2 linked regions of the Arabidopsis thaliana genome follow. The protein of the gene in region 2 interacts with the protein of the main gene of each other region in a pairwise test. Each region holds a gene or a part of one and is shown on either strand. Other genes may lie near its edges.

Region 1 (4,260 bases), on a different chromosome or scaffold from region 2:
CCCATCACAGTACATACAAAGACGGTGCTGCTGAGTTTAGCTAACTGATCCTGACGACTCGGCATGGAAGTGTTGAGATCCACAGAGAGTTTGATTCCGACAGCGATGAAAGTCAGAGAAGTGGCGTTGAGAGAGAAGAACTTACAGGGAAACCAGAATTTGCGGTGTCGGAAGCCGTGTATAAGATCGGCGGCCATGGCTAGACCACAGATGAGTGAAGCTACGGCAACGTAGATACCAATCGAAGGTAAGGGTTTGCTGAACTCTGCATCGTTCAAATCGCCATGGGCGTCGCAGCCGAGGATACCCATCAATCGAATTCAAGGATTTGATCGAAAAAGCTCTTCTTCAAGTTGACTCCATGGAAATGAGTGATCTTGTTGACATCATTCTAGAGACTGGAAAAGTAGCAAACTTTGACTTCTCTGACCGATTTTGAGCACAAATTCCAACCTTTCTACTACACTCTTCTATGACCATTTCAACTAAATTTCGGATAGACACTGTTGAATCGCAGATCAACCGGGAAAAACTCACGGGAAGAAAGTGTTTCTGCCTGCTTTCGTGGAGTTTGGAAAAGGCCTGGAGTGATCCACCTATCATGGGCCTAATAATCGGCCCAATTAGTTTTGTTACTGGATGTGTTAATAATGATGAAGAGTAGAAACTTTGACTTGTCTGATAAAATGATCACACTCCTTTCATGACCATTTCGATTCAATTGAGGAATTAGGCACTGTTGAGTGACAGATCAAATGTCCTAGGATCTATAAACAATTGACATTCCATGGAATCAGCTTTAGGGGGTTTTGAGCAATCATCATCACCAATCAGGTTATTCGAGGGATCCAGTTTGTTTGTTTTTGAATTCAGCTTAGGGGAACAAAAGAGTTAAGATTGTGAAAACAAATGACATGAATCACTTGATTCGATAGCAAACACAAAAGCAGGACTAATCTCTCTCACACACACAATGTCTCAACTTAAACAGAGAAAACTAGTCAATGTCCCAAAATGAAAATATAGTAGAGTACTAGCTAAAAGAGAGGTAGAGAGATCATTCATTCAATAGGGTTTCTTTTGTTGTTGATGGTGGTCATGTCGTCAGGAGGTATGACAGCAATCCTGAGAACACCAAATTCTGCATCCCAAGCGATGGTGTTGTTCGAAATTAAAGCGGGAAAAGGACTTTGGACGCTTCCGAGGTAGGTTCGACCGCTCTCATCGTGTTCATACACGTCCTTGATCTCAGCTTTGAATCTGATTTCCTTTTCATCAGCATACACTTCCACATCATCCGGACTAACACCTGGCATGTCCACTGCAAAGTGAGCCCCTCCTCCCGCTTTTGTCACCCCAATTAGTGCTCCCTTGCGACCAGACACCAGACACGGATGATCCTCCAAGCGTATTCCGGATTGACCTTAATAAAGAACAGAGAGTACTGTATTAACAACAAATGATGCAGCAAAAGAGATTGTGACTTTAGAGAAGAGGAATGAGTCGAACCTGTAAAAGGAGGCACAGTGAGAGTACACTTGTTGTTGTTGTTGTCTTGAGCCTTGCTCACAACCTTGACCCTTGTGAGAATCATCCTCAAAACTCCATCTTTCATTTTGGCATCCACGCCTGTGATCTCGCAGCAGTCACAGCCAAGCCCAGCGGTTCCAGAGTACTGACGCACACCTTCCTTGCCGTTGTTCAGAGTTTCACCGGAGAAAAAGACAACCTTTTGTCTCACGGCGTCAACTCTGTAGCGAACGGCGTCGTCTGGAACACCAGGCAAGTCGACACGCACGTAGAGATTGTCGTTCTCCAGAACCTTCACTTGAACGAAACCCTTTGGACCCGCTTTCTGAAACTGATTGTTCGTCGCGTAGAACCCCTCTGTAATAATAATAAGTAAACAAAGATCAAAACTTGATGAAGAAAAGTATACAGAGAACAAAGGAAGACACTTATCAAAGATGGAACTAACTCGATCTGCTTCATTTTCATGAATCATGCACAGTAAAAAAACTGTAAATCTTTGTACCAAGTTCATGTTAACACTTCACAAGTAAACAAATTGAGACAACTTTCTAGAAAAAACACATATTTTCCGAGAAAAATTAGAACAATGTTGTTCTTGGGAAATCTAGTAGCTCGTGAAAAGAGATACCTCGAACTTTAGGAATTCTTGACATGTCCCTGAAATCTGCCTTTGTCTCACCCATCTCTCTCTTTGTTTTTTGCTCTCTCTTCTCTTCTAGTTCAAGGTAGGTTGCGTAAAAATGGCGTTTTGTTCTCCTGTTGATAAATATAGACGAAGCACCATCTTGTGGTACAGACTGTGACGTGGCACGCTCCAGCTGGCTTTTTTTTAACCTTCATAGCATAAGTTTGACTGGTCTTGCCTACGTCACCGACTCTCTCTCTCGGTAAGAAAAAAAACTTGCTTTTACTCTTTTGATTTTTTTTACGGTAGAGAATAAGCTGACGTCACCAGCTCTGTGAGCTATCCCACGCTTTTTTTACTCCTTTCGTTTATATGTAATTATGTACGACAAAAATGACTGCAAAAGTAAAACCGTACCCACACTCTTCACTCTTCATTAATTTTCAAACATTTTTGACAAGACGACGCTGACGTCAGCAATCTTCAAGAGTAAAAAAATTATGAGCTCTCAATTATCTTTTTTTTTTTCATCAAAGATCAAATAAGGTTTCAACCGTCGTTTAGTGTTTATCCAATTATTACGACAACGCTATTAAAAAGTTTGATCCCTACTTACAACAACATATATCTATTAACATGTCCAGGTTACATACTCGTAATCCGGTTTAATAATGGCAAAGATCTATATAGTCTTATCGAATAGCTAGGTTAATGTAAGATTAAATAGAACAAAGAAAGCTGACAACTTTTTCTTTATTGAGATCACGACATATAGAAGCAAGATCGTTCTTAACTAAACCACAAAATGATAAACATAAAGCAGTAGCTGCATCAAAGTTCATAGATAGATAGAGACGCTAGACACAAGTACCATTACGAGACACAAACCAAGGTGTTGTTAAATCAGTAATGGAGGATCCTCTCCTTGACATTAATGGAAGCGTTTTTGCCTGGGATCTTAGGGACGGTGATCCAGAGCACTCCGTTGATAAGCTTCACTTTAGTTTTCTTGACGTCGTAAGCCTCAGGGTTGAAAATCATGGAGCCTCCGTATTTGCGTCCGGCGTTTTCGTACTCAGGCATTGCTGGTTCGTCGGCGAAGAAGTGGACGTTGTTGGCGTCGACCCAGTAGGTGAGATCTGACTCGGGACAACCAGGCATGTCGACTCTCGTCACGCAAGATTTCTTCGTCTCTGTCACCTCGTACACCGCTTGACTCCCACTTTTCTGAAATCGGTTCCTTACTGTACATACATAAGATAAAACAAACACAAATTCGTTATTAGAAAGAGAGATTTGACGTGTAAACTATAAAGGTTTGATTTTTATAAGAAATGACAGTGAAAGATGAAAACTTTACTTGGAGACGGAATTTCGCCGGAACTGCCTGCGTTAACTTCCATGTTCCTACTCATTTGCTCAAAACGATGCTCTTTCTCTTTCTTTTGGAAGGAAACTGAGTGAGCAAAGTCGCTCTACTCCACTTGCTATTTATAGCCGAGGAGGACTATAGGGTTTGGGAAAGGCCTGGAGTGACCTATCATTTGGCCCATTAATCGGCCCAAGGAGTGTTAAAAATTCGAAATTGTTTCTGATTTGGTGAAATTGATCGAAAAGCTCTTCTAGTTGAACTCCATGGAAAGGAGTGATCTTGTAGAGTGTTGACAATTGACATCAATCTGGAGACTTTGACTTCTCTGAACAATTTTTAGCACAACCGGAGTGACCACCTAATATGGGCCTAAGAATCGGCCCATTTAGTTTTGTCGGGGGATGAATTATAAACAATTGACATTTGATGGAAGAAACTAATATTCAATATCAGCTTAGCTTTAGGTAAATTATGCAATGGACCCAATTTGTTTCAATCGGCTTAGAGGAAAAAAAAAGAGTTAAAAGTTTGTGAAAACAAATGACATGAATCATTGGGTACCATAGCAAACACAAGTATGTATATGTTAGTTACTTGTGTATTTGGCCCATACATCGGCCCAATGAGTGTTTGAGCCTTTAAAATTCGAAAACTGCTTTTGATTTGGTGCAGTATATGTTAGTTATTCAGCTTCCATCTAATCTCCTCCATACACATTATAATTTAAGTT
Region 2 (5,023 bases):
CTCCTCCATTATCCTTCTCTTTTTCTCTCTCCCTGCAACTGGCTCCATCCCAAAGTGCTTCGTTCTGGTACAGCGACCATGGCAGTTTTTGTTCTTGTGATGATTTTGTTGGCCATGGCTGGTCACTCAAGTAAGTATATCTTCGTCTCTTTTCAAATCCTTCTCTGTCTCATATAGATCCTCTTCTTTTCTTCTATGGCAAAACGATTCTTCTTTTCTTTGTTCACCCACTCTGTTTTACAACAGAACAACATAGTCACAAACTTCTTAGCTTTCATAGTTTTTAATGAAATTTTCCACAAAGAAGGGCCATTTTTGCTTTTACCCATACCTTCTTTTCATATTTCCTTTTTGACTGTGGAGTTCAACAATCTTGTCCCCTCTTGAATTAAACATTAAGGTGTTCCATTTCACACATTATCAGTGAATGAGATTTGAAGAATGCTCATTGAAGTGTTTATGTGTGTCTTTAGGTGGGACATGGTGTGTATGCAAAGAAGGGTTAAGCGAGGCAATGCTGCAGAAGACATTGGACTACGCATGTGGTGCAGGAGCTGATTGTGGACCCATTCACCAGACCGGGCCTTGCTTTAACCCTAACACCGTCAAGTCTCACTGCTCCTACGCCGTCAACAGCTTCTTTCAGAAGAAAGGTCAGTCTCTGGGCACTTGTGACTTTGCTGGCACAGCCACCTTCTCAGCCTCTGATCCCAGTGAGTCTCTCCTACCAACCTCACTACATTAGAATTAGTGCAAAAACAATTTGTTCATATTTGGTAACTTAACTAGGTAAAGTTAAAAGCAGTAGTTGAAAAATGGAACCCAACTTGAAAGCAAATCAGAAAGGCTAGTTTATATTAATCTAAACTTCACATGTTTCAATGTGAATGATATGATAAATAAAGTATCCATTATCTTATTATATAGTATCACAACTCAAGATTCTCTACACAGATTTGAAACTAGATTGTAGAACATATCATTTTTATTAGTAACTGTTGTCTCTTGTACCATTGTGGTCTTATGATATAGGCTACACTACTTGTCCTTTCCCTGCAAGTGCCAGGTACACACCCTTCTTTCTTTCTTCACTTCTTATTTGTTGTTTTGCAAACAAGAATTGGCTTTGGTCTTGAGGATCTTTGCACTCTAGATCTTTGTTTAAGCTGATTGATACAATCTGAGAGATGTGTTTGTATGTTTGTTGTTATTTACCATTTAATGCAGTGGAAGTGGGACAACGACTCCAGTGACGACAACACCTTCGACAAGAGTCCCTACAACAACTAATACAAGACCCTACACAATCACACCATCAACAGGAGGAGGTTTGGGAATACCGTCTGGTATTAACCCGGATTACACAGATCCATCCTTTGGATTCAAACTCCAAAGCCCAAGATTTGGATTCATAGTCTTGTTCACTCTCTTCCTACCCTTTTACTTGTTTAGCTAACTAAGTGATCATGTGAGTAGTGTGTGTGGGTCTCAATCTAATGTAATGATGGAATCTATGGAGATAGAGACATTTTTTTGTTCCATCTTTGTCTGTTTTTCCAGCTGTTCCCCACTTGCCTCTGATAAAAATTGTACATTTTGATTTCAAGTAAGGAGACGGAAATATATTTATTTAAGGTTACGTTACCTTCACCGGAATTGTTATGACCGGAGATAATCAAATCTGAATTTCTGATTGTCTGAATTGACCCCAAACACAACCAATCAAAACAAAACACAAAGGATAAAAATGTCATTTTGACGGGTTAATGTATATAACTAATAAAGGGTAAAATTGTCATTTGACTTCACCAACCAACAAACACTCTTCTCAGTGGCTTTTTTTTTAATTGATCGGATCCTCCAAGCAGCAGCCGAAGACGACCGCCGGCGATTTCCGGTTGGCAATTGTTCTCATCTGATCTGCTTTCTCGCGGTACTGATCTCTGATCCCAATCTTACATCGTAAAATCTCTGCTTTCGTTCGGGTTTTGATGATATAGATCACGTGGATTCCTTCTTTTCACAATTGACTGTTACAAAATCACAACATTACATTTAATCTCTTTCACGTCCCCAATTGTTGTATGAAATTTGATGTATGTGAGGTAGAAGGTCATGTTCTATAAGCTCATTCGACCAAATTTGTGTGTTTGTAAACTTAACTTTGATTTGTTCATCTCCAAGGTTCTCTCAAAATGAACGTCAGACTTATTGGGCACTCTTGTTTTCTTGTAGCTCCAAGTTTAATGGAAGCATTAACTACTTCAAGGGTTGTGCCAGTTCAGGTCCCCTGTAGAAAGCTCTCTTCACTTTTTGCTAATTTTTCTTGCCTTGAGTTAAGGAGATATCCTTGTAGAGGTCTTGTCTCCATTATGAACCATCCCAAATTGCTTCGTCCAGTGACTGCTTCTGTGCAGCCTCACGAGTTGTCGACTTTGGGGCATGAAGGCAACATTGTTCCTTCTAAAGGTAACTAATTCTAATTACTTCAGAATCTGTTGAATTTAGATTTTAGGGAATAACCTGAGCTGCTTGGTACTAGGAGGTATGAAGGAAGAGTTCTAAGAGTTAAATTACAAACTGTTTTAAGCTTTTGAATTGTTTATAGATTGCTGAGTTTCTTTCTACTTTTGGTTGTTGGTTTTCTGAATTGCTAGAAATTCTTGATCTTTGGAGAAGTGTTGAAGCGGTATGTTTCGATGTGGACAGCACGGTTTGTGTGGATGAAGGTATTGATGAACTTGCTGAGTTTTGTGGAGCTGGAAAGGCTGTTGCTGAATGGACTGCCAGGTTTTTGGTCCATCTCAACGCATATATATGCTAAAGCTCTGATGATTTTTACTGCCTTTTTATGTTAACTTATCGAGTATTGCTGTTCTTAGAGCTATGGGTGGATCTGTTCCATTTGAAGAAGCTCTAGCTGCAAGACTTTCTTTATTCAAGCCTTCTCTTTCAAAAGTAGAGGAATATCTCGACAAGAGACCCCCAAGGTATTGATTTTGGTTACAGTTACTTTGCATGTGTTGTGATTTTGATCTTTTGGTATGATGCGAGCTACCTTCCCATGATTCACTCTGCTAAATAAATCGTTTCACTTATAAAGATAGATTTTACTTGTAAGTGTTCCATTGGCCCATGTTCTTGTCTTGAATTAGACTTTGACCAATAGACATCTAGCTGGCTTGATTCCTGCTTAAGATATGTCCAGATTACTTTCTCAAGTTTGTTATTATAGTGTGTTTCTTTGGTTTGTTTAGGCTATCTCCTGGCATTGAAGAGTTGGTCAAGAAACTCAGAGCCAATAACATTGATGTCTATTTGATATCTGGAGGTTTTCGACAGATGATCAATGTACTCTATCTCTCTCCCTAGTTTCTTCATGTTCTTTACTAAGACCAGCTGCATCAATTCTTGTGTAGAATACTACAATCATGGTGATAAGGTTATGATTCAATTTCTTTTCACTGTAGCCTGTAGCATCGATTCTTGGCATCCCTCGGGAGAATATCTTTGCCAACAATCTTCTATTTGGAAACTCCGGCGAGTTTCTGGGATTTGATGAGAACGAACCTACGTCAAGAAGTGGAGGCAAAGCCAAGGCAGTGCAACAAATACGAAAGGTTCACGGAACTTTATTAATTTGCAAGCTCCCATATCTCTTCTTAAGTACAACACTTTGTACCAATGAAACTTGGTTCTTTCCAGGGTCGTCTCTACAAGACTATGGCCATGATTGGAGATGGTGCTACTGATCTCGAAGTAAGCTATTATCAACCGAGAATTTGCAGATTACAATGAACTCTCAAATACTGTCTTGAGTAACTAAGGTAATATACTTGCAGGCACGTAAACCTGGTGGCGCAGATTTGTTCATATGCTACGCTGGAGTTCAGCTTCGTGAAGCCGTTGCAGCAAATGCAGACTGGCTTATCTTTAAGTTTGAATCTCTCATAAACTCATTGGACTAAAAGCCTCTATAGTGATTATTCTCGTTTAGCTAAACTCATTATTCATATCTCCAAATTTGTACCCTTTTATGAATTTGTATCAAATACCAATTGAATCAACAAATGTTTTTGCCAACTTTAGCCGCTTGATATGTTTGTTCAAGCATAAGAGCGTTGTTATAACAAAATAGTGGTCTTTGTGAAGAGAAAATTAAACCACAGACTAATCAATCTTGGCGGTAGACATATCTGGATGTCCAGTTAACGAACAAAGCCATAGCCACCACCACCAAATCCACCGCGACCAAATCCACCACGAGCATATCCCCCACGACCACCACCATAACCTCCCCTTCTTGCAAAACCACCACCACCCCCACCACCTCCTGAATCAGCTGGATGCACTCCAATTATTCGCCCATCAAGCTCCTATTTAAGCAGGAAACTCTATAAATGGCGGATTGACATAATCAAGCAAAGAAAGAAAGAACAATCCCATTGGTTTCTGAAGCAGCAACGTAGTACCAAAACATCTCTCTTTCTGTCTAAAGAAAATGAGATAAACAAAGCAATGAAAAGAATGGTCTAATTTCACAGTATGATTCTTTACTAAAAGAGTTACTTATCAAACGAGAGAGACAGGAGTAGCATTACAAGCTATATGATAAATTGCTAATATACAAACTAGTGTACTAGAAACAAACTTATGTCACAAAGTAAGAAGATTTTAAGGATATGGAAAGAAAGTAAAGTGAGAAAGTAATTAGACTCATGATAATTAGCAACCAAAATAAGCCGGAAAATTGGCATCACCTTATTTTGCATAGCTTGCATTGCGTTATTAGCAACTTCGATCGAATCATATGTTACGAAACCAAAGCCCCTTGATAAACCACTTTCACGGTCCAAAACCACTACCGCTGTGAAGAACAAAGTAAATTTTAGTCAGCAATGAGAAGAAAAACCAATGGAGAAATGAGACAGCTGTAAAAACGATAGCTACCATCAACAATTTTTCCAAAACTGCCAAAAGCTTCTTTCAAGAGCTCCACATCAGTAGATGGTGAGAGACCTGG

The links.
Region 1: the proteins of PSP (region 2) and AT5G47590 interact in a two-hybrid assay, tested with the Arabidopsis thaliana proteins (one large-scale study listed by BioGRID).

Annotation. Positions count from the first base shown.
Region 1 is NC_003076.8:19,296,884-19,301,143, forward strand, and holds AT5G47590 (Heat shock protein HSP20/alpha crystallin family), read right to left. Parts: upstream 2,292-4,260; 5' UTR 2,217-2,291; coding exon 2,162-2,216; intron 1,888-2,161; coding exon 1,510-1,887; coding exon of another isoform or gene 1,424-1,509; coding exon 1,062-1,423; 3' UTR 731-1,061; downstream 1-730. Other genes in the region: ASG7 (uncharacterized protein), read right to left, coding at 1-311; AT5G47600 (HSP20-like chaperones superfamily protein), read right to left, coding at 3,062-3,402, 3,519-3,573.
Region 2 is NC_003070.9:6,415,469-6,420,491, reverse strand, and holds PSP (3-phosphoserine phosphatase), read left to right. Parts: upstream 1-1,798; 5' UTR 1,799-1,933; intron 1,934-2,235; 5' UTR 2,236-2,246; coding exon 2,247-2,469; intron 2,470-2,657; coding exon 2,658-2,790; intron 2,791-2,882; coding exon 2,883-2,990; intron 2,991-3,257; coding exon 3,258-3,351; intron 3,352-3,470; coding exon 3,471-3,620; coding exon of another isoform or gene 3,621-3,705; coding exon 3,706-3,759; intron 3,760-3,842; coding exon 3,843-3,968; 3' UTR 3,969-4,208; downstream 4,209-5,023. Other genes in the region: PDCB3 (plasmodesmata callose-binding protein 3), read left to right, coding at 79-130, 474-713, 1,033-1,066, 1,228-1,456; GR-RBP6 (glycine-rich RNA-binding protein 6), read right to left, coding at 4,209-4,376, 4,761-4,867, 4,951-5,019. UniProt on the Arabidopsis thaliana protein: Catalyzes the last step in the plastidial phosphorylated pathway of serine biosynthesis (PPSB). The reaction mechanism proceeds via the formation of a phosphoryl-enzyme intermediates. Required for embryo, pollen and root development.